Yarrowia lipolytica: one gene and its partners. The protein of the gene in region 4 purifies or fractionates together with the protein of the main gene of each other region. This does not show direct contact. Links are inferred from orthologs where the notes say so. Each region holds a gene or a part of one and is shown on either strand. Other genes may lie near its edges. The genes, in order: YALI1_B13137g, YALI1_A12302g, YALI1_D11722g and YALI1_B01698g.

The links.
Region 1: the proteins of YALI1_B01698g (region 4) and YALI1_B13137g purify together in Saccharomyces cerevisiae (affinity purification with mass spectrometry; 10 studies listed by BioGRID, with this or other methods). This does not show direct contact. The link is inferred for Yarrowia lipolytica from reciprocal best matches to the Saccharomyces cerevisiae genes NOG1 and RLP24.
Region 2: the proteins of YALI1_B01698g (region 4) and YALI1_A12302g purify together in Saccharomyces cerevisiae (affinity purification with mass spectrometry, with the first as the bait; 3 studies listed by BioGRID). This does not show direct contact. The link is inferred for Yarrowia lipolytica from reciprocal best matches to the Saccharomyces cerevisiae genes NOG1 and RRS1.
Region 3: the proteins of YALI1_B01698g (region 4) and YALI1_D11722g purify together in Saccharomyces cerevisiae (affinity purification with mass spectrometry, with the first as the bait; 3 studies listed by BioGRID). This does not show direct contact. The link is inferred for Yarrowia lipolytica from reciprocal best matches to the Saccharomyces cerevisiae genes NOG1 and SPB1.

The regions. Positions count from the first base shown.
Region 1 is NC_090771.1:1,311,403-1,316,516, forward strand, and holds YALI1_B13137g (ribosome biogenesis protein RLP24), read right to left. Parts: upstream 2,303-5,114; coding exon 1,736-2,302; downstream 1-1,735. Other genes in the region: YALI1_B13122g (uncharacterized protein), read right to left, coding at 397-867; YALI1_B13150g (uncharacterized protein), read left to right, coding at 3,664-4,887. UniProt on the Saccharomyces cerevisiae protein: Involved in the biogenesis of the 60S ribosomal subunit. Ensures the docking of NOG1 to pre-60S ribosomal particles. Activates and recruits ATPase AFG2 to cytoplasmic pre-60S ribosomal particles.
Region 2 is NC_090770.1:1,227,124-1,232,498, reverse strand, and holds YALI1_A12302g (uncharacterized protein), read right to left. Parts: upstream 2,230-5,375; coding exon 1,609-2,229; downstream 1-1,608. Other genes in the region: YALI1_A12294g (uncharacterized protein), read left to right, coding at 2,937-2,998, 3,047-3,560; YALI1_A12284g (uncharacterized protein), read left to right, coding at 4,046-4,543. UniProt on the Saccharomyces cerevisiae protein: Required for ribosome biogenesis.
Region 3 is NC_090773.1:1,168,205-1,175,247, forward strand, and holds YALI1_D11722g (uncharacterized protein), read right to left. Parts: upstream 4,056-7,043; coding exon 1,503-4,055; downstream 1-1,502. Other genes in the region: YALI1_D11686g (uncharacterized protein), read left to right, coding at 420-1,160. UniProt on the Saccharomyces cerevisiae protein: Required for proper assembly of pre-ribosomal particles during the biogenesis of the 60S ribosomal subunit. Specifically methylates the guanosine in position 2922 of the 25S rRNA at the stage of 27S pre-rRNA maturation.
Region 4 is NC_090771.1:165,937-172,566, forward strand, and holds YALI1_B01698g (uncharacterized protein), read right to left. Parts: upstream 3,958-6,630; coding exon 2,032-3,957; downstream 1-2,031. Other genes in the region: YALI1_B01644g (uncharacterized protein), read left to right, coding at 1-6; YALI1_B01711g (uncharacterized protein), read left to right, coding at 5,228-5,791; YALI1_B01719g (uncharacterized protein), read right to left, coding at 5,877-6,057, 6,101-6,177; YALI1_B01725g (uncharacterized protein), read right to left, coding at 6,352-6,614. UniProt on the Saccharomyces cerevisiae protein: Involved in the biogenesis of the 60S ribosomal subunit.

The DNA of each region.
Region 1 (5,114 bases), about 1.1 Mb from region 4:
AGTACAAAGATGGGTCAAACTACAACGACTCACTTGAGCTGACACGCTCATGACAATAAATATATTCAATGCAAGTTAGTAAATGTCGGGATTCATCGTATCAGAGATTGTAATGAACAATGACAGACACGACTGGGGTGCTGGATCAAATGGTGAGAATACTGCGTTCACGCGACATATCACGCAGTCACAGTCAGTTGTCCGAGCGACGTGATCACCCAGTAGCTCGAGTCGCTCAGTGAATGGAGAGGACAAGACACAGTCACTTTAGGTCACTGTAGCAGTTGCGGAGTCTCGAACATAGCTCAATTAGCTAAGACAACCCGTGTTCATGAAAAATATGGACAATTTGACCGCGCACGTAGGTTGAGTTGTGAGACCCGGAAATCGGGACCCTCAACTTTCCTGTCCCAATCTGAGGGCCTCCTGTCTAACCAGTTTGAGCATGACATCTGCCTGCTGCGGCGAGATTCCCATTTGGCTCAGCACGTTCACCGCCACGACATCAATGTTGACATACGAGGGTGGCAATCCGTAGTCCTCTTCATTGTCCACCACCATGTGTCTAGGGATCACAATGTACACCATGATCATGGTTCCTTCCATGAGATGTTCGTGCAGACCGCTCTTAGCCATGCTCAGGGTCACCACTGCCTCGGGACGTTTGTCTTCGATGCCCTGGCGCAGCTTTTGGGCCTTCATCAACGCGTGCAGCTCTGGCACCTCCTTGAGCCGTAGAGTGTCGAATTCATGCGACTGAACAACGCCGAAAACGCGCACCGAGTCGCGGAAAATGTCGCGTCTGTCGCCCGTCGTTTTCCCGGCCACCAGACGAGCCAGCCGGGTCACTGATGTTGTCTGTGACATGGGGTGAAGAAGAGTGGAGGATTAGGTTCGATGTTGAAAAGATGAGGGAGGTGGTAGAATGGCATGCAGAGGAGGGAGGAAGATGGAATTTCAACGGGGGGATATTCCAGGAATCGCAACCATGTTGAAGGTGAGTATATTCAAATCGAAAGAAAACTGAGCAAGATTGAACAGCTATGATGTAGATATACTGCAACCTTAACAAGTATCATAAACTACAGTATGTACTGTACTGTAGAAGAGAAGGGGGGTTTCTATCATGGCATGATGAGACTTGAAAAAGAGTAAAAATGGTATCGAATGATAGCCCAAGACAAGATGGGTACGCGCAACCTATTATTGTGGCTCTATAATGAATGTTGAGATGTTGAGATGTAAGTCCGGTTTTCTTGAGTCCCGAGACCCAGAAGAAACGGCAATTGGGGTATAAAGACTTGATCGACTCCAAAGACACATAGACAGTGAACAGAACCACCTCTACTATCCTCTCATCTCACGATTAGTAGCATCAAAGTCTCCCTAACCATTATACAAGACTACATGTACTGTAAACTACAAGTACATAAAACGCTCCGATGTTTGCTTCAAAAAGGAGTATTTTCCCTTCGTTCATGCTGTGTTCTACGGTAGTCGTCCGCAGGGAACAGTGAGTTCACGAAGACACACTCGGTCTTCGCTCAATGCACACTAGTACCGCGTTTGCACGCTCTCCTCTCAGGTCGATTCACAAGTGCGCTCTCAATAGAACCACATGTCGTTCTTCAAACCCGATGTTCGTTCGGTAAATAATCTATTAGTCATAATAACAAGACACATCGGCTTGCCAACATCCCCATGCAATAACTTAATATTCTCTGGTGCGTTTTCTTCAAGCTCGCATCTTTCGCTTGCTCTTGGACTTGAGCGCAATCTCGACCTTCTCCCGCTCCTCCTCGGACTCCTCCTCCTCGGACACCTCCATCTCGGACATGTCTTCGTCGTCGTCGTCCTCGCCGGCCTCCTGCATTCGTCGGAGCTCCACCTCTCGCTCTCGCAGCAGCTCGGGGTGAGCCTCGACCAGTTTTCGGTCCTCCTCCAGCTGGGCGGCCTTGTTGCCCCGCATTCGGTTCTTGTAGAAGGCCCGCTCTCGCTTGAGCCGGATCTCCTCCACCTTCTCCATGGCCTCCAGAGTCTTCTCCACGAGGTCTCGGTTGTATCGCACGGGCACGTCTCGTCGGGCAGAGAAGGCCAGGGTGGAATCCACCACCATCTCCTTGCCAGCAGCCTTTCGGAACGCCTTGGTCCATCGCAGCTTTCGGGGGTTTCGCTTCATCTTGAAGTTCTTGTGGCACTTGGATCGGCAGAAACGAAACTCCTTGGAGTCGTTACGCACGAACATGATTCCCTTACCGGGATACACTGGCGACGAGCAGAAATGACAGTTGTACACTCGCATTTTGTGGTTGTGCGGTTGTGAGGTTGTGTATGATGATGAACGAAATCTTCCGCATGCACTCTATGTCAAAAATATTTATTTGAGTTTGAAAATTCTGCACGTCCAAAGTCTGTGGCGAGAGTAAGCGAACAGGGATAATGTGTTGTATATGAGAGGTACAATGAGTGTGACATGCTCATTGAAATATCCACGTGATAAATCTCAGTCAATTTCCGTTTTGCCTATTTTGTCGATTTTTATCGGATTTTATCGGATTTTATCTCATTTAATCCAAATAAATCCAAATAAATGCAGTCCCGCTATAAGCTCACCGCTTACTAAGAACAAGGCGGCTTGGAACGAACGAGTTGATCGAAAAGCGTCTTATGGAGTCTACAAATAGAGAGCAGATTTAGAGAGGTGTCAATGGCTCTTAAAAACGCATTGCGGCTAGAATTGAGCACTCCTGATGACCCGTACTTCACATATTTGACTTGCTCAAAAGAATGAATCAGAGGCATCTTGTCTACTTGTACTAATACTTGCTATGAACAAGAGTCTTTAAATTGTAAACGAGGTACTTGTACTTGTGCTTGTGTGATGTTTCTGAACTGATAAATACACTCTCGTGATCTCATCATCAACACACAGAAGATTCTGCTGCTGAAGAGTATACATCCCTATGGTCAAACAGTGGATACAAGAAAGGGACCTTTTAAGAGCATAATGAGACGAATCGTCATTGAATAGTCAACAAACCAATTGGGTAAACCTCAAATCGTTATTCATTGAAGTTTTTAGGCCTCCATTACCTCATTTATGTGTCTTACCTCGTTCACTTGCGCTAGTTGTTTAGAATTTTGATCCTCCACAGCTCAGACATGATTTTTATTGAACATGTAGTTCATTTATATGCTTTATTCACATAATTAAATGTTCCTGTACATTTATATATCTTCTAGTAGTCCTTTATCTCGAGTCATACTTCTATCTACTGTATATGGAGTTTTCACTGGAAACTTATAGACATCATAACACCCTCATATTTGGATTTAAAAGCCTGAATATTTCGGATTCTGAATAATTAATAGACAAAAAGGGTTTTACTATCACTAAAACCCCTAAAACCAGCCAAATTTCTCTTTTTTTACATCTTTTGCAACATATTATTTTAACGACTTTTTACTCCATCTTCCGCAATAGTTTAGTGGCTAGAATTTCCGCCTGTCAGGTTTACACCAGCACGCGGGGGACCGGAGTTCAATTCTCCGTTGCGGAGTACTTTTTTACCAGTCAAATATCCCCATACCCTAACCCTAAACCAACATGCACCTCCTACCGCCAGAAATATCTGCCTGCTATTACTCAAAATCACAACCACCATGCTTCTCGTTTTGAACACGGCGAGGCGGGGTCTCTTGGCCTCGCCCGGCAAGTCGCTGGTTCAGCAGCATCTGCGACCGCTTTCGATGCTTGTGAATCGGCCCATTTCTCGAGCTCCAGCTGTCCCTGTTCTTATGGCTGTTCGAGGCAAAAAGACCGACTCTGATCTGCCCCGAGATATCGATCCTATTGACCCTCGAAGCAACTCGTTGCGATCTCGAATCCCATCTTTCCCTCTCGGTAAGGAGGCCCAGCCGACCATCATTCCCAAACCCGACACTCCTGTGGTCGGCCCTCGGCTCTCTTTCACTGAAATGATGCTGATCCTGAAAAACAAAAAGGAGCCCGAGTTGCTGTACGAAGCCGAGCCCCACCGTCTCTACTTTGTCATTTGTTTCTGTGGCTCGTTTGTGCTGGCTTTGTACGGAATCATGTTTGGAGAGAACCTGCTGAGTGCTGCCTACATGGACTGGAAGATGAACCCCACCGACGAGCCATTTGTGCACCAGATGTTCAAGTTTGGACTGAGATCTGCTGTGCCCATTGCCTTTACCTCCATTTTCCTCTTCATGTCCTACGTTCTTGCTCGTTTCCCTGGCAGACTGATCCGACGTCTGTACTACCTTCCTGGCACCTACATGAAGGGTGTTCCCGAGCACATGCAGGGCGTGGATCACATTCGGTTTGTGACCCACCCCTATCTTCCTGGTAGACCCTCTCCCGTCTACACAGTGAACCTCAACCAGCTGCGATGTGGAGAGAGGACAACCATTTTCACCAAGGACGGTTTCTACGGTACCGCCTCCAAGTCATCCTTCTTCTTCTTCATCTGGGAAGGCAAGAGTTGGGTTCCCTGGGTGGTCGATCGATCCGGCTGGTTCTGGGGCGACGGACGAGTATGGGATGTACTGTTTGGAAAGAAATCCATCAAGGAGGCCGAAAAGGGTCTGTCTGAGGACGACAAGATCAAACAGCACTGGCGAATCCAGGACGCCGCCAAGGCCGAGCGAAAGCTCAAGGAGGGCAAGTCCTTCTATATCAACGAGTACAAGCGCGGCTTTGAGCGCGACTTCAACACCCTCAAGGCTAACACCGTCGGGCTTGTGGAGGACATTAAGGAGAAGCGAAAGGAGGACAAAAAGAAGGCGCTTGAAGAGCCCCAGACAAAGTTGACCTGGCAACAGAAGCATAAGCAGAAGTTGAAGAACAAGAAGAAGCAATAATCTTGTTGTGTATATAGTAACTGATTAACCGAAGAGCACGAGGGGAGCGAAGATCATGAGGCGTAGCAAATCATCCTTACCCAACGCACTTGTAGCACGAGCTAAGGGAATGCTCTGTAAAATTGAAAACGAATACCCTTACTACGAATGTATCATGTAAGAACAATACTACATACATACTGTACATATGTAGTTGACCTGAATTACTGAGTTACAGTCATACCATC
Region 2 (5,375 bases), on a different chromosome or scaffold from region 4:
AGGGCGCGTAGTCACACCACAGGGGACGCAGAACCAAACCAATGACGAAGAAGAACCACAAGGAGACGTTTTCAAAGGCAATGCAAACGAAGAGGGCAATGGAAGGATTGAGATTAGAGAACTGGAGACTGGAGTGGCGTTTTCCCGATGAACGAACAAACACGCGAAGCTATGTGGACCAACATACAAACACGGAACTGAACGACAGGTTTTTTTATGATTTTTTTACTGGAAATAGTTACGTGGCCAAGTTGGAACCATGACACTAAAACGTGTTTAATTAGTAATATTCGTGTAAGCGTTACATTCATTTCAAAGGTTTATTCCTTTCAACAGCAAAGTTATAATTTAATATGAAGTATATTGCAGAAAAAAAATAAAAAAATATGCGGGGTTCGTCTGGGTATCAGCAATGATTTCCGCCATTGTTTTTCGTAATATTTTAGGACATGTTGGTTTTTGGTGGCGTTGGAAATACTCGGTTGGTTCTGTGCTCGAAATTTGACGGAAAACGGTCCTCTAGTCGCGATTCTAGCCTGTTTTGTGTGGTCATTAGGTGTTTTGTTGTCGCTTGTGCACTGCTTTACAGTACATCCACTATTGGGAGGTACAGTTAGATTATTGGGTCATTTTTAGGTCATTTTTATAGGTCATTTTTAGGGTCATTTTTAGGGTCATTATTGGGTCATTATTGGGTCGGGGGTCCTTTTTAGGCCATTGTTAGGCCATTATTGGGTCATTGTGGACTAAAAATTGGATCAAAAAATTGGTGGAGATTGGAAAAAATATATGATCAGGTTGGGAAATTGGAATAAATGGGAAAAGTGAGGAAATTCGGAGAAAAAACGAAGAAAAGGGCTGAAAATTGACAGGATAAAGATTTATTTCCAGAGTAAAACCTATTAATTAAAATGATCTCAACATTTAAAGAATTACGGTAGATCTGGATGTCTTTCTCTCTCACCCAGAACTCTGCCTACCATTCTCCATGGGACATGTCTTCGGAGATGAAAGATAACTATTCTATGGAAAAACAATCATGTGAATGGTCTTGTCAGAATCCACATTCACCCCTTCCACTGTGTGGAACTATCAGATGATAAGTATGTTGTACAGCACAAGCAGTTTTGCACAGAACGCCGACCAAGTGATTTGAACTACCGGATAACGGCGTTTGATCGGAGTGTCAATCCCAGACGTTACCAACAAACACGATTTCCAGTATCGGTACTGTTCGTACTGTTCGTGTTCGTGCTATTCTGTTACTTCTGGATTGAGAGATGCATGTTTGGATGGTCTCCAGCAGTTTACGAGACAGATGACTGCTACAATCGACTCGAGTGGGCTATACATCTATTGTGCAAAGTATCCGTACTGTACTCGCACTCGCAGTCAACGTTCAAGCATTAGCAACATCTCCAGTCGTCAGTCCCAGTCAACTACACTCGATAGAACTAACCTCAGTCACAGAGGTTGAACTACGACAACATACACCGCTAGATCAGTCATAACTACCGCATTGAACTTGTACAAGTACGTTACATCCACCAAACAACTGCTATCGCCTACCCGCTTAATGATCAAAATATAATTAGTCTATTTTTCCACCTATTTCGAAACGCCCCGCTTGAGGTTTCGCTCATGCTGCTTCTGGTTCTTCTTGACCAGCTTCTTTCGAGAAGCTCGGTCCAGAGCTCGAGGATCGAGCATAACGTCCTCCTGGTTCTTCTTGGATCCCTTACCATCGTCCACCTCAACACACCACTGCTGGTCGAGCTCCTTGTTCTTTCCGTTGAAACCCCACTTGGGCACCCACTTGCCGGTGGCCTCGTCGTACACAAGCTTGCCATCCCGGGCCTTGGACTTGATGCCCTTCTTGAGAGCAAACTCTTGCCACTTGGTCATGGCCTTGGGCTTGGGAATGGGCTTCTCTCGAGGGAGACGTGTGGACGGCTGTGGCAGCATGATCAGAGACATGGTGGAGTTCTGGTTGCCGCTGGACGAATTAGAGTCCGTGGTGTTCTTGATGGGTTGTGACAGAAGCTGGTTGATGAGCAGCTGGGCATTATCTCGAGACACGGCTTGGAGAGCCTCCTCTCGGGCCTGGCCGTCCACGTTCAGGTCGTTTAGATCCACCTCCACGGGATTTGTGTCGAATACTGCAAGGTTGCCCAGATCGTACGTCACGGGCACGGGCTTCTCCACGGTCACTGTCTTGATTTCGCTCATGGTTGTTGTTGTGTATCTTGTGCGTAATAGTCGAGATTTTCCTGCAGCCTGAAAAAAATATTTTGATAAGGTTGATGTGGGTTTTGGCTTTTTGATTAGTCAGCAGGACCACGGAGCTGGTGGCGTCCAGCTACTGTAGTAGATATGCAAATCAGCCTGTTGGGTCAGGTTTTTCAAGGTAATTCAACGTCGGGGGTTAGGGACGTGTTTTACATACGACATTACGGTAGAAATGGCGCTGGATATACAACGGTCTGACGATTTGGTCCAAAATTGGTATCAAAATAATCCTAACCTCCTGGCAAATACCAAAATGTTGTTAGATTTACAATATCTCTACTCCCCATTGATAACGGAGATATATTGAAAATAAGGTTGCCAGATGAGGTTCCCCGAACGGATCCAACATGTGCCAAAGTTGATACGATGATATGATGATCACTTCGAAAAACAGTCATCTGTGACTTCCAGAGTCGTTAGCAACACTCTCAACCGACGTACGAACCGGTGAGCTCAGTTGATTCGTTTTTCTGAATTTCACCTGACAAAAACTTTATTTCCCCCGAATATTTCACCTCGCATTTTTTTTAATTTTTTTAATTTTTAATTTTTTAATTTTTTTGTATAATAACAGAACGGCTCTACAAGGTTGCTGGTCACGTGACCTGACTCCGAGCTGGTGTCCATATATGCGCTTTTGAATGTGAATGCCAGAGATGTCAACTGATTGTTTCATTCTGAAGGATGTGTGCAATCTCATTTTGCTGTGGTGAAGATGAACAGTCTGGTCAGTACATAGTTGTACCGGTACATCCAGGTATCATACACTATACAAGCTGAGCCGTTGCCACGATACGTTTCCCGCAGTTAGATCGACATTCACGTCCTACAAGTTTGTACTTGTACAAGAACTTGGAGCAAATGTGCACTTGTACTTGTACTCGTACTATGTCGCAACTCGTTTCAAACCCCAAACACTGCAACATGTCTCATTGTACCCAGAGTCCCTGAACCGGCGCTGTTTCAGTCTCTTCAAAACCGTACATACAAAGCCGTATTGCACCGTACAGAGCCGGTATTGCACCGTACAGAGCCGGTATTGCACCGTACAGAGTCTGGTGCATGCTGTACGGTATCGTATGCGCAGGTCTCGTCTCCGACTTGCTGCCGCCAGTCAGCCATCGCCACAGAAAGAAGGCCACGGGAAGATACCGAACTATGGCATTGTTGGATTGAGTTTCATGACAATGTCCGGCGAGGCTGGGCGTACATTTGTCGTGTTTGGTGGAGGCCGGGACAATCTGCCAAGAGTGTTCCATGTTGGAGCATGAAGTTTCGCGGGTAAGGCCGGGTGGAATGGTCCGAGAAAACGGCTGAGATGGCTTACTCAGCCATTTGGAGCCTGAGCGGCGCGCGACAACAGCTAGCACGCTCTCAGTTGCTCTTTCTTATCTCTGAGATTACTGTAATTGAGTCTGATGATCATAGGACCGAGGCTAAACGAATGTCTCGAACCTAACCCTGAGACAAAAATGGGAGCTGAAAAAAACAGTCGATAGCGATAATCGTGGTTCTGAGCGTGTGAGAGAGGAAAGACCGAAAAATCCGACTCGTTTATTGGCCATTGGAGCCCAAACACAGGGTTGGGCGGAAAAATGGCCGTTTTCGGGGCCGTTTTGGATGACTAATCAAACTCCCGGGTATTTGTCAGTCATGCAGCAGACGCGGTTACAATTGGGTTGGCCCAGATCTCCCTGTATCATCATCACCACCCCCAAAACACACACTCACACACAGCACTTTGTACCAACTGAAAATGACCGACTGTACTATTAAGGGTGTTGGCGCTTCTGACGCCATTTACGACGGCTCCGACTTCAAGATCGCCATTGTGCACGCGCGATGGAACGAGCAGGTGATCAAGGCTCTGCTCGACGGAACCATCTCTTCTCTGTGCGGCTTCAAGGTCAAGCGAGAGAACATTTTCATCGAGTCTGTGCCCGGCTCGTACGAGCTGCCCTACATCACCCACCTGATGGCAGACTCGCACAAGTACGACGCTGTCATCTCCATCGGCGTGCTCATCAAGGGCTCCACCATGCACTTTGAGTACATTGCCGACGCCGTTTCCCAGGGCCTCATGCAATCCCAGATCGCCACCAAGACCCCCGTCATTTTCGGCGTGCTCACCTGTCTGACCGAGGAGCAGGCTCTTCAGCGAGCTGGTCTCACTCCTGATGGACACAACCACGGAGAGGACTGGGGAGCTGCTGCCGTTGAGATGGCTGCCAAGCGACATCTTTACCTGCAGTAGATGCCGGGACCTGCCAATTGATGTATCCATAATGATGTATGTGTATTTTTATCCGTGAACTGTAGGTGGTGGGTTGGTGCCGAGGTGCGGTATGGCGTTCGCGTTTCAGCACTCTTTTGGCACTCTTGGTGCTTTAGTTCAACCAAGTATCCAGTCTACCAACAAGCACCCAAGTTCTACTACCAAGTACCTACTGTACCGTACCCAATCTCCACCAACAAGTAACCAAGCTCTACCCCCAACTAAGTCTCTGCCACCAAGTACACAGTGCAAGTTCCGACTTGACCAGTTCGCCTTCTTCAAGCCCATTCTCCTTCGTCCATTATACTGATCCTGAGACATGTTCCTAGGACCGTATCCATATTTGGTCGGACATCTCTTCAGGATGAGTTATCTCTCCCTAATTGTAGAGTATAGGGTGTTGGAGATTCAGTCATGGACAAGTGTTCTAAATCCTTTCGTCTTCTTGTCAATCTCCGTTGAAGCAGGTCTAATGGTTCATCAACTTTTGACCTCTCACTGTTCTAGTGCGAGCATCTGTAGAGAGGGGGAAGCTCTAAGGTGCTGTTACTCTTCAACGAGAGTCTGCCGAGTACGACAAGAGTGTGTAGTAGTTGTACTGTAGTCGCAGAAAGACAAGATCAAGCAGGAGAGAAGGCAGACATGGCGCTTGATCGTATAGCTTTGGTCATTTTGCAGACAGTTAAAGCTGGAATTGCTGGCAGCTGTGATTTCGAAGAAATGTTGTGAAAAGAGTAACTTACCTAGAAGCAAGAACTTCACCCGCAGTTCTCACAATGTTTGTTGGATGCGAGGTCCAGGTTTGTGTCAA
Region 3 (7,043 bases), on a different chromosome or scaffold from region 4:
CTGGACGAGCCTAAAAAAGTGTGCAACGGCATTTGGTTGCGTCTATGCATGGACTCGTCTAATTAAGGTTTGTTAGTCACTGCGGTTTTTTTCCGCTCCAGAAACGCGAATCGGTCTGAATCATTAGAAAGCCGTCTGAATTCGCGCGGTTTTCCACGGAATCGAAAATTCTCCTCTTTCTGAACCCCGCGACAAGGCTTTTTTTTTTGCCCCTCCCGAACCCCACACTTAGTTTGGGCCCACCCAGCTGACGTCACCGAACATTAAATAGCCGTTGCGTTTGTCTGCAAGCGGTATTGCAACTTGCCAAGATTGCTACGAGTGCTCCAAGACCACTCTTTCTCTTCCTCCAACCACTCCAAACGCAAGTACACATCAACAAACCACCCACACACACACACACACATCACACACACACAATGGCCCCTCGAGTTATCTTTGTACGACACGGCGAGACCGAATGGTCAAAGTCCGGCCAACACACGTCGGTGACTGATCTGCCATTGACTGAGAACGGAGTCAAGCGAGTGCGAGCGACGGGACGGGCGCTGGTGGGCCGAAACCGGCTGGTGAACCCGGCGTACGTGGAGCACATTTTTGTTTCGCCCCGATCTCGTGCCCAGCAGACGCTCAAGCTCTTTTTTGAGGACGAGCCCGAGGCTCTCGCCAAGATCCCCCAGACCGTGACCGAAGACATTCGAGAGTGGGACTACGGCAAGTACGAGGGCCGAAAGTCAGCCGAAATCCGGGCCGACCGAACCGCGCGAGGCATCGACAAGGACGGCCACAAGTGGAACATTTGGTCCGACGGCTGCGAGGACGGAGAGTCGCCCCAACAGGTGCAGAAGCGAGTGGACGAGCTCATCAAGGAGATCCGGGTGATCCACAAGAAGGCGCTCGACGAGGGCAAGGAGCATTGCGACGTCATGGTGTTCGCACACGGCCACATCCTGCGAGTCTTTGCTCTGCGATGGGTCAACGGAGACATCACCATCAACCCGGCTCTGATTCTCGAGGCAGGAGGAGTCGGTGTGCTGTCTTACGAGCATAACAACATTGAGGAGCCAGCCATTTACCTGGGAGGAGCCTTCTTTGTGCCCGACGAGGATGTGGAGAAGAACAGCGGAGTCATTGCGCTGGCTGGGGGAGAGCAGAACTAGTGCGAGCCACCTCGTAGTAAATATGAATAGATACATGATTACGGATGTGAGTGGTGATTGATATGGTGAGTAGTGGATCGCATCCAGTAAGAGACTGGATCAGTAAGGAGAACTGTTGATTGATTCTACTTAGTAGAGGTACCCTGTGATCCTAGGACACACTCTTTTCTTCTCTAGTAAGTTAGGAACACCAGAAATGAGCCCCCCAGTGGACTTTTCATGCTAAGTAGATCCAAAAAACTATTTCAACTAAAGATACAGTCCAACTGACTGAACACCAACAATCACATCCACTCTCTCACTATTCTAATACAATACCATCCATTAATTCTATCCATATGACTATTTCTTGCCCATCTTCTTCTTAATTCGTCGAATAGCACGCTGCTCCTTCTTCATGGTTCCATCAACCATCTTATACTTTCCTGTGACTCCTCTAGGTCGGCCAGCAATACCCTTGTTCTTTCCTCCGGCGTAGACGACGGTGACGGTCTTCTTCTTGGACTTCTGGGGCTTGGCGAGCTTTCGCATGAGCTTGGAAATGTCATCGGCCTTCTCCTTCTCCGATCGCGCGCCATCTTCGTTGATCAGCTCGGACTTCTTCTTCATCTGCTCCAGTCGTCGGAGAGCTCGCATCTTCTTTCGGCCCTTGGCCTCCAACACCTTCTTGATGGGCCGGGCGTTGAGAGTCTTCATCTTCTGCTTAAGCGCCTCCACAGCCTCCTTGGTGATGGGCTTGTTGAGCTTGTTATGTTTGTTTTCGTCGTCCTGGAACCACTGGGGCAGGCCGTCCAGGTCTCGGAACGAGTACCGGTTGTAGCCATCGTCCTGGAGCTTGTGTTTGTTGGTCTGGCCGGTGGCCAACTGGTGGGCCATGGTCATGGCCTGGTCGGTCACCAGATCAATGTTGGGCTCGTCGTCGGAGTCAGACTCGCCATGCACGTACTCAATGTCAGAATCGTCCTGCTTCTGGGTCTCCATGACGATATCGTCCTCCTCGTCTTCACTGTCGGAGTATTCGAGACCGTTCTTCTTGGCGTACTTGCGCTTCTTGGCCTTCTCCAGCTCAATCAGGTCCTTGGCTCCGGGCTCCAGCAGGTCCAGAGCCTTGGGTTTGGCCTCGGTCTTGGCCACGGCGGCGTTCACCAGATTGTCGAAAATCGGGTTGGAAAAGAACATGTTGCCGTTGTTGAGAGTTCGGGCAGTCTTGCCGTCGTCCTCGTCTTCGCCATCGTCAATGGTGGCCATGTCAACATCGTCAGCAGACATTTCGCCGTCAGACTCGTCACCATCCTTCTTGTCGGAAATACCAAACCACTCCTCGGTCTCAACATTGGCTTTCTTTCGCTGAACCACACTCTTGGCAGTTCGAGCAGCCTTGTTCTCCAGATACTCGGTGTACATGGACTCGAGCTCATCCTCCAGACCGTTGGCCTCGTCGTCGGAGCCGTAGTCGACCCGCTCGGCCTCTTCCAGAGTCACGTGCTCGTCGCCTGTCTCGCTCACATGGCTTCGCTTACCCTTCTGCAGCTCGCTCAGCTTGCCGGTTCGCTCCGCCTGTTTCAGGTTGAACAGTGACTCCATTTTGGCAGCCTCGATACCGAGCTCTGTGGGGGTGGTCATGTTCATCTGCATTCGCTGGATTTCTCGCTGTTTCATTTCGTTTCGGCGTCGTCTTTCCCGCTTCTTACGGGCCTTTTCTCGCTCGCCAAGCTCAGACAGCTCCTTGTCAATCAGCTGGTCCTCGTCCAGCTCCTCCTCCTCAACCTCCACTCCGGCCTCGGGCTTGTCAATCTGCAGAAGGTCACGTGCGCTGAGTCGCCACTTGAGAATGGCCCGGAACTCCTTTCGGCCTAGCACCTTGAGATCCTTGAGACACTCGAGCAGCTCTGGGGTGGTCTGGGGCAGCTTGGACACCATCTTGAGAGCGTCTTCGTCCGAGTAAACCTTGTCGTCAAGCACATACTGGACGTTTCCCCGCTCGTCTCGAGCCTCCTTATCCTTCTCCTTCTCTTCCTCCTCGTCAACCTCTCCCTCCTTGATGGATCTGGGGGTCCACGTCATCTCGTTGGTCTCTCCCAGATTGTCAATGGGAGTAGAGTCTGTGATAAAGTCCAGAATGGACAGACGCTTGTGTTGCAGGTACTCGCCCTCCTCGTAACCCTCTCGCTTTCGTCGCTTGACCTCGGGGTTGAACACCTTGGCCTCGTTGTTGTTGTTGCCCTGAGACACCTCCTCGAACACGTACTTGGCGTCCAGCAGTCGGGGGTCGATTTTCTTGGGAGCCTTGAACTTAAGACAGACGACGAAAATCTCGGCGGACACGTTTCGCGAAGAGGGCGGTTTGGTGGCCTCCACCTTCTCGAAAAACTGCTGGAACACCCACATGAGGTTGTTGTAATCTTTGGATCGGAACACCTTGGTGACAAAGGTTCCGCCCTTGTTGAGGAACTCCACCGCCAGCTTGAGCGATTGCAGAACCAGCTCGGACTGCGTGAAGGCATCCTGGGCCCACGCCATACCCACGTTGGGCGCACCATCGTGCATGACTGTGTCCGCCTTCCACGTTTTCATGTATTGTCGAAGCTGCTGTCGGCAGTGGTCAGTGGTGATATCTGACTGGAAAGTGATGACGTTAGGAAGCGGCTTGATGGGAACAATATCACAGCCGATGATGAGTGAGTTAACGGGACAGAGCTGCGACGCCACCTGACACCACGAGCCAGGAGCAGCACACAGATCAATCACCACCTTGGACTTTTCTAAAAACTTGCCGTACTTCTGGTTGATCTGGATGATTTTGAACGACGATCGCGCTCGGTAGCCCTTCTCCTTGGCCAATCGATAGTAGTGATCCAATCGACCTTTTCCGTGTTTCTTTTGAATTTTACCCATGGTTGTCTGGTTGTATGGTTAGCTGAAAAATAATTTTAGAAGGCTCATGCAGCCTGTCCGATTTTTTAACCTCAAGGTTCGGTAGGGTAACACAAAGCATAGACGGGCCGTTGAGTAATTTACTTGGGATTAGTTGGAAAGGGGACAAGGGGCGAAATCCTACCCTCCGGTATATTTCATTCATTTGAGGGGGATGATTTTGGAAGCTGACTTGGTTGCAATGTTGTTCATGACAATAATCCTCGGGTATGGACTTTGTATTTGCCACTGACTGAGACTGGTGATTAGTTAAACCTTGTTAAGGAAAACTCGGCTGGGGGTGCAAATATGGTGTTCCAGGGGTGGTAGAAAGATGGGGAAAGGTTCAGATTGTATGGAATTTGAATATTGATGAAAATAATTATATTATTTCCCATATTCTCCATACAAAATATGATTTTATTGCCATTTTTGTGGAAACTGGGACCCTAAAATTACTTAAGCTTTAGTTGAGCCTGAATGAGTAGGACTGGATCATATTGGAGCACCTATAAAGACATTCTAACCAGAAGGAAAATCACACTAGGAGACGCTCTAGGAAGAATTACTCAGTGCTAGGAAGAACTACTTGTACAATTGTTGGTTGTACTCGTACGAGAATGAAACCAAAGCGCGTCTCAGCTTGAGTTTTACTCTACCAGTGGCTCCTTTCTAGCGTGTGTCTTAAACAGCCGCGCTGAGAGGCGTTCATCTAGATGTTCATTCTTAGACCCACGAACAATTACAAGAGAGAGAATTCACGTCTTGTCTCCAATCCTTCCCTCCTATACCGAGCTCGTTCTGGCATGGTTCCGTGGGTGGCCGGAGTGTTGTTTTCTGGCCATATCAACGACCAGTTCCGACAGAGCATACAGTAGTGAATCAGGCAGTTTTCCGCGGTACTGTATATCGACAATGATCATCCAGGCCGTTCCACGCGGTAGGTCGACTAGGCAGATCTCCGCGGCAAGGCTGTCTCAAACTGACTCTGGAGCTCATTCCGGTTTAATCAAGTGTCGGGAGGAATCACGTGTCCAGAGAGGACTGGCTATTCAACTCTGTAAACAGTACCTCGACATCTCCTCCACAATGTCATTTTGTTGGTATACTAGAAGCTATTGGAGAAGATCAAGTTATCCGGTAGGTGAAGACGAAGATGAAGACGATGAAGACAAGATGTGGCGAGAGAGGTCTCAGCTCAAATTCGGCTCAAATTCGACTCAAGTCGTTCACAGACAGGGACGATGTCAGTTTGTTACTGTAAGATGGCCTCTTTTTCATTGCATATCGATTTCAACTCACTCGTACTCGTACTTCTCAGGTAGTCAGTAAATTGAGTTTAGCAGAAAAAAATCGAGTCAAATAAGCTTTTGTTAGAGTTTTAAGCGTGCATGATGGTGCATAACTCTGGATTTTTAATTTACACGGCTAATTCGCAGTCGAGACGAATAAATTGTCAATAAATCCAACGTTAATTAATTTTGAGTTTCTGGAGGAAATGGAGGAGATTTGGGCTGACTCGAAAGAGTACTGCTGCTGTGCTGTATTGGTATATATTCTCAGATATGTGTTTCCTCTCGTCGGGTTTATTCGGGCACCTAACAACTGTGTATCAACAAGTGCTGTTTGAGACGTGTTGTGCACTTTGGGGTTTTGAAGACTCCGTTGAAAGTGCCAAAGTCGCTCAATGAGAGCCCGGCATAATCGAACTCTCTCGCTTCAATTGAGTATCTAAAACGTTTCTAGGATTCAGATCTTCGATGAGTCGTTTCAGGAAGCTCAATTGACGTTGTTGGTGTTGGGCCAGATGATGCCCAAAGACACGATACCCCTGGACGGAGTATGAAGCGTTCCTGAAGCATGTCCCGTGGGATTCAGAGAAGGCTTTGTACAGTTTCTGTGTGTTGTAGTGGTTTATTACGCTACCAGACTGTTTGGTGGGTAAGTAGACCGGAGATATAGAAGTTGAAAGATAGTCAGTCAAATACGAGAGTGTCAGTAGGTGTAAACATAATGACGATATTTTAGAAGAAATCCAGTCTAATTACTGTCGTAAATGGCTTTTTTATAAGTAAAACAAGTAATTCTACCGGTACTAATGCGGGTACTGTGTGTACTAATATAATCGCATGTTTTGTCTTTCCTGAGCATTCAGTTCAATCACCGGACATACAATCGACAATTCTCCTTCCTGTATCAGACCTTGAATGGCCATGTCTGGGTCAAGTTCAATCGGATAAAGCAAGACGTGTGAGCACAGTATCTACCTGTTCAAGTACCGGTATATTACTTGTGCAATTACAGCGCTACATAAATATAGGTCGCCTCTACATATCTATGAGCAGACTTGTCCATCACGGATTCCTATGCTGACTCTGAAATAGTCATGCACAGACACCTGGTAAGTCTCATCAGCAATATAACAATAGTGGGCCTTTGAAACAGCCGAGTATCAAGATTCATTGTCTAAACGACAGGTATTTGAAGTCTCCAGACATGTCTTGCTCTTGTAGAGTAGATTGAGAGTGTGCTGCGGATCATAAGTATCCAAAGTTGCCGTCTGGGTCCTCTTGTTTTCAGAATAACAATGTTCTAATTTCCTTACTCGTTACATCTACAGAGCTTGTACCTGGTCGTAAAAACACATTGGCTTGTATAACAGCGTCCTGTGAACATAGTTATACCAAATTCTACAAGAAAGGGTAGATGTTTCGTCTTTTATACAGATCTCCCTTGGGGTATGACGTTCCTTGGGGTATGGCGATCTCTGGGGTATAACCGGTGACGGTCTACGGGTATATATATGTCATTTTCTGGAAGTAAACGACGGAAATGAGTGTTCTTGTTGTCTGAATTAGCACCTTGCTGTAGATCCAGACTAGTTCCAAACTAGTTGACCTAATTGACTGGAAGAACAGATGGCGAGGCGGTAAATCAATCCTTTACGCGGACCATTATTGGTAAGACTCT
Region 4 (6,630 bases):
TTTTAGCCGAGCTCGGCAGGGTGGGAGTTGATATGGAGAAAATCCAGACCCGAATCTATTCCGTTCCACACCAACGACAAAGTCCGATGGGTCCGCTCGTGGTCCGTTCACCAGAGGAGTCGACCTGTGAACTTCAGTCATCTCTCTACACTGCTTCGATATGCCACGGGACCTCCACCGTATGTCGTCTAACAACGGTCTGCATCGGTCTAATGAAATACAATAATTTATTCTGGTTCTGTACGAGTAGTGGAGGGTGTGTGCATGTTGTCATATGACTGGCATAGTTGTCCACGTGTTCAGTTTTCACGTGACCGGAGCACAAGATCGAGTAGTTGGTCACGTGTCCAACTTCCGCGTCTCACGTGACGACACTATGATACTTTGGTTCTGTCTGCATGAGATTCATTGACTTGGAGGTGACTTCATTCTTCCAGAGCTACATACGGTCCGTCCCCTGAAAAGAAGTGCACAACCCAGCCAATAATAAACCTATCGACGGTTAACAACAAAACAATTGTGTTCACCTGAACAAGAGCTCTTCAACGATATAATTTTTACTAATGTTCTGATTATGTAACCGTCACAAATGAGCAGTCTTGTGCAGAAGAAAGGCTTCTGTATATGGCACCTAAACAGACAATGTATATGAACATTGGGATTTAATAAACGACCCCGAAAGACATAAAAGCAGAATAAAACCACAATAATCGCCTGAAAAAAAGGCTTTGGAACACTTTGGAACACCTTGGAACCGTTTGGAACCCTTCTGACACCCCATTCAGGCTTCAGTACAATTTTCAGAATTTTCACGGACATTCCACTTTAATCTGGCCGACGAGCGTTTGTGTCTCCAACTTTTGTAATACCAGCACTGGAGGGATAAAAAGTAGTTTACTAAAACCGTGTCGTTTCGATGATTAATTTGGTACTAATTCTGACAAAATTGGGTACAATTAGAAAATAGGACAGATAGAAGTGTGCTCACACCGGAAGACATGGCAAGCTTGAGAAGAGAAGCGGTCACGCAATGTGGTCAAGCGACTATAATCACTTGCAGATGCTCTAATCACGTGCAGATGATCTAATCACGTGTGGATACTCCAATCATGTGACTGAGAAAGGGAGGAAGGAAGGAAGGGCAGGGAATTTTGGGAGACTGGAAGGGGGTTTTGGGAGCCGTATCTGGAACAACAAAGGGTAACGACTTTGACTTGGTCACGTGACCAGTTCTTCATAGCCAGTATAGAACTTTTGGAGACGTTGTCAGCGCTGTTTGGAGTTGGGTCCAGATCTTTCGAGACATTCAGAAACGCTGGTGTTCTCAGAAAGCTGGTCATGGAGCACTCAGACATTAGTACATGTAATGATAAGGCGTTGAACAGCCGGGAGAGTCCAGTCTCTGCTGGTTTGAGAGCACGTGATCCAAACATTGGAGTTTCCGTCACTTTCTCAGCTGAAAGTACCAGACCTCCGTGAGAAACCAGATCCACTTCCCCCGTTCAATGTCAACTGGAACTGTTACAACCTTCAGCAGCAATCTGCTTCTTGGGCAAGTGCCTACAACTTGACGAGGTCTCCGGTATTGTCTCCAGAATGACTCAGTGAGCTTAGGGGTTCCATCGGCATGAATGTCCGAAAGAGTATCCGTTCTAGTTCCACATGATTTTTTTGACTGTACTGGCTTGTATGTATGATACGATCCGAACTGGTGACTTGACGACCGCGTCACGTGACTCGGCGACCACATCACGTGATCCGCGAACTGTCATCGCTACAATGCTACAATGTCAGAGCTACAATCGTTACAGCTGACCAGACCGACTCTCGTCACTCAACTCGCCTATTCAATCAATGCTCAATCTATTAATATAAAACTTTTCCGTGATCCATCTATCTAATCCAGGTGACGACCAAGTGAGTACCCAACCAGGTTGGTTGGAGACACTGAGCCGACCAAATCAATACCGTAATCAATACCGTCCATGTCTTGAATCCGACTCGGTTTCGGACTACGTCCTCAAACTTTGTCTATCTCCAATCATTCGATCCAACAGTTCTCTTTCCGGAAAACAAATGCTTGGGCTTGGTCTCGGCAATATGTCGATCGGCCTCTCCTCGTCGGGCCTTCATGTTACCCTTTCGCTGGGAGTGCTTGGCCATTCGGTCGGCCTTGGATCGCACGGTGGTGACAATACCATCGTCTCGTCGGTTGGACTGGCCCAGGGGCATGAGGGACATTTCCTGGGTGGAGACGGCCTCGTTGAGGAAGGTCTGGTGGCCAGACACGTCGTCGGAGGCCTTGGCTTCGGCCAGGGCGTTGGCTCGGTCCACCACCTTAGACGAATCGAAGCCCACTCGCTCCAGATGCTCCTCCATGTCTCCCAGCGACTTTTTGGTCTTTGTTCTGGGGATGGCGGCCTTGTTTTTGAGTGACTTCTTGGACCGGGCCGTGTTTCGCATCATTTTGATCTTGTTTCGCAGCCACTGGGCCTGCTCGTGGATATCCTCGGCCTCGTCGTCCTCAATTTCCTCCTCCGAGTCGTAGAAGCCCTCCTGCTCGAGTTTCTCCTCCTCGTCCTCCAGCGCCTGGAGCTTCGAGGCGATATCGGGGTCGATGAAATCGTAGACATTTCGGCCGTTGAGCAGCTCGGGCATAATGTCCTTCTTCCAGGCCTCGTCCTCCAGCAGATAATCCTTGGACATGTCAATGGAAAAGACTCCAGCGCCTCCATTTTCGTCCTGAATGTCCCGCATCAGCTTTCGTCTGTTGGGGTCGTTCTTGTCGTACTTTTGCAGGAACTGGACCGCCTCAGGCACAGCCGAGGGCCGCTCAATGTCGTCTCGCTTGACGGGCTGGGCAATATGGACCTGGTTGAGCAGATCCGAAGAGGCGCCACCCTTGACATGACGCAGCTTCTGCTCCACTCGAGCCGCCAACAGCTTCTCGCACGCCCGGTTTCGCACCTCCATAAGACCCTCCTCGGCATGGCACGACAGCTGCATAATCTCCACGTCGGGCTGGGCAGCAATGCCCTTGAGAAGCTCCTGGTTCTCCTCATCCAGATCCTCCGGTCGCTTGACGTCAATCTTGTTGATGACCACAATCACCTGCTTGTTGGCAAACAGCGGCTTGATGGAATGGAACAGCTTGACCTGCTCGGCCACAGAAAAGCCACACTGCTCGGAAACGTCCATGAAATACAGCACACACGACCGAATGTGGGCAATGGCGTAGATGGACTGCATTTCAATGTTGTTCATCTCCTCGGTGGGACGGTCCAGAATACCGGGAGTGTCAATCGCCTGGAACCGCAGATACTTGTAGTCGAAATGGCCGACATACAGAGACTTGGTGGTAAACGCATAGGGCTGGACCTCGACCTCGGCTCGAGTCACAGACTTGAGGAACGAAGACTTGCCAACATTGGGATAGCCACAGATGAGCAGGGTTCGAGTGTTGGGATCGATGGAGGGCAATCGACCAAGATGCTGCCGAACTTGCTCAAGATAGACAAGAGGGTCCTTAAGCCGCTTCATAATGGTGGCCATACGACCAAGAGCAGCCCGCTTGAGCTGCTTGCACTGGAAAAGAGACTGACCAAACTTGAGCAGACGCACGTAATCACGTGACACCTGATCGATGAGCGACTTGGCTCGGGACAGGGATGCCAGAGACACCTTGTAGTGGTTCTTCTCGTACAGGGTATCGAGCAGGTCTCGATGGAACGGGTGGATTTCGTTAATGTTGGGGAACGACGTGACAATCTCGTTGAGCTTCTCCACAAATCCGTCCGCTGTGAATCGCACTTTTCGCATGTAAAACGCCCGGATTCGCGAGATTTTGAACCCGGCTCGAATTACCGTGGGCGTCTTTCGCTGCGTCCGGTTCAGCACAATGTCCAGAAACTCGCTCTGGTTCGGAATCGTCGGAATATCTTTCCACGTTAGTTGCATTTTTCCTCGTTGAAAGTTGAAAACAGTAGAGTGTGTTGCGTGTGTAGAAAGTGGAGGATTTTTTTTTTGGGAGCTGACGCAGCTGCATAAAACTTTTAAGGTTAACGTTTTGGGATATGCAGAGGTTATTATGGTCACGTGAGGTGGCAATGACTATAAAATGAGTACGGGTACGAGTATGAATACCCGTAATATCGGGATGAGGAGTCATGTGATCGAGATTGGTCTGAATTAGTCATTGTATGTTGATTTTTTTGGCGCTGGAAAACAACACTACAGATTGAGACCGAGTTTTTTTTTGTAAGGCAGGCACTATATTAGCCTAACTAAACTCCCATGGGCTGTGTGTAAATTTTGTCGGAAAAAATGGAAAAAAATGAAAGAAAAATAGGAGAAATATAAATGGTATAGTTTTTGTTATTGAAAAATCCATATTATAATATTCCCCCAATTTATTCCCCATCTAACAGTCTCAATCATCTCCATAGATCCACCTTTTTGCCTTTCTAATTCACCACCCAAACTCTCCATTTTTCTGGTCAAAATAAGCTTATCGGATCGATGGCAATGTCTTCCAGGCGGCCCAGAAAAGAGGAGAAGGGCGACTGTACTGAGAGTGGAGGAGTCTGTGCGATGTGGCGAATCAACTGGCGTTTTTTTCCGACTATTTTTATTGTTTTGGAAGAGTTATCGAGGAGTTATTGAGTAATTGAGTAATTGAGGTTGGTTTTTTTTTTTTTTTTTTTTTTTTTTTTTTTTTTTTTTGAGTAAATTCGAAATTTCGGAGAAATTCAAGCTATTTGGGTGGTTTGGGTAGAGCGAGGTTCATTATATGGCCGTTGAATAGCGCACAATATATATTTGTACACGTCTCTATAATTTGCAAGGAAATGTTCTGAAGTTTTCATTTTTCTTGTCATTTTTCTGAATTTATTCTCTTCTTCTGAAATTGCTATTTTTACTGAATTTCCTGAAATGTAAGTTTCTGATAAATTCAAACGATTAGATTATTCTAAATTATATTTAATCAAATAAAATCTGGAAAAAAGGAAACCTCTAGATATCGATTCTGTAAGTCTCACAACAACCGTCCACATCCTCCTTCTGACCACGCCAACTCCCCAAACGACCCCCAAATGACCCCCAAAGGAATCCCCACTATCATGGCAGAAACACCGCACCTGAACTTAGACTCGCATCACCGGACTTGACAGCATCTCCAGAACTGTACCACAACAGAACGGTACCAGCAACACTTCTCACAACCCACATGTCACTCAACAGCACCAACTCAACATCAACGTCGGGCATGCAGCTCTGCGCCAAAAGCGTGCAACTGGTACTCACCGAAACCTCCAAGCCCTATGATGAGGGCCGATCTCCGGTGCGATACGAGGCGACTGGAGTGACAGTTCTGATTGACGCCACTCGGGTCATTGTGCAGTCGGACTCGGACAACGCGCCCCAGCTGCCTCACGTGGTCGCGTTCAAGCTGGACTGTGTCAATTTCGCCTCGCTGGAAATTCCCATGACCAACATTCTCAAGGTGCAGCTGACTCAGCCGTGGTTTGGCCCCAACTCGGTGGACATTTCGTTTGTGGCGATTCCCAAGGCCGAGAGAGGCCTGCATCTGGTTCCCGGGCTGAGACGGGACGGAACCACGTGGCGAGCCGATCTGTACTTTCGCGAGGGTGGTGCCATTGAGTTCCAAAAGGTTCTGGCGGAGAAACACACAGCGTTCAGGGAGAGAGTCCAGAGACAGGTTTCGGTGGCGCGAGACGGCATCGAGCCGGATTTGCCACAGTACGAGGCTCCTCCTGGTTATGAGGAATAGATGGTGGGATGTGGACGAAACACAACAACCGCTTGGGTCTTATCCGACTGTTGACAGATAGACACTCGACTCAGGATACTGGTGGTTACCCATTTCTCCATTTCCCAACGTTTTCCTTCACGTTTGTTCCACGCTCAAGGCCTCTTCTCCTCGTTTTTCTAACGGTTTTTTTCCCCCGCTCAAGGTCTCTGTCAAGGTCTCTTGTCAAGGTCTCTGTCAAGGTCTCTGTCAAGGTCTCTGTCAAGGTCTCTGTCAAGGTCTCTTCTCTACCGCCCACCACCCTACCCAATCATTCGGCCACTCATATACACAACATCAAACGAGTCCCCTGAAGCGGAGAGCCCCACAAGTATAAGAAAGAGTTGGTGCAGAGACGCTTCACACATTCCGCAGTTTTGAAACTCTGAGACGATCGTGCCCTAAACAGAACCTGGGACCCGCGTCACCCAGTCTCACGAGACCCCGACAGCCTCTTTATACGTGTACGGTATATCGAGATAACTTATTGCATCATTTTGCCATGAGATGAGACAAGCATAAAAATGATATTTTGATGATGGTTACGTGGTAATACCCAGCCAGGCATTGAAAGTATATCTGCTACAGACTAATGAGTGGTGCCATTCGACAGCTGGAGCCCGACCGATCTCCACAATGTATTTCCTTAACCCAGGGCTACTAAATTGAAAATATGGAAGTACACCAAGATCGAGGAGGTCTGCTCTATGAATGTTGAAAGTGGGTCTTACGGTTAGATGCTTATAAAGCTGTCTTATTGTAGTATCATAGTCCCGTGACAGGGCTAAGGGGTCCGTAAGGCGCACTTTGGCGCATAGACT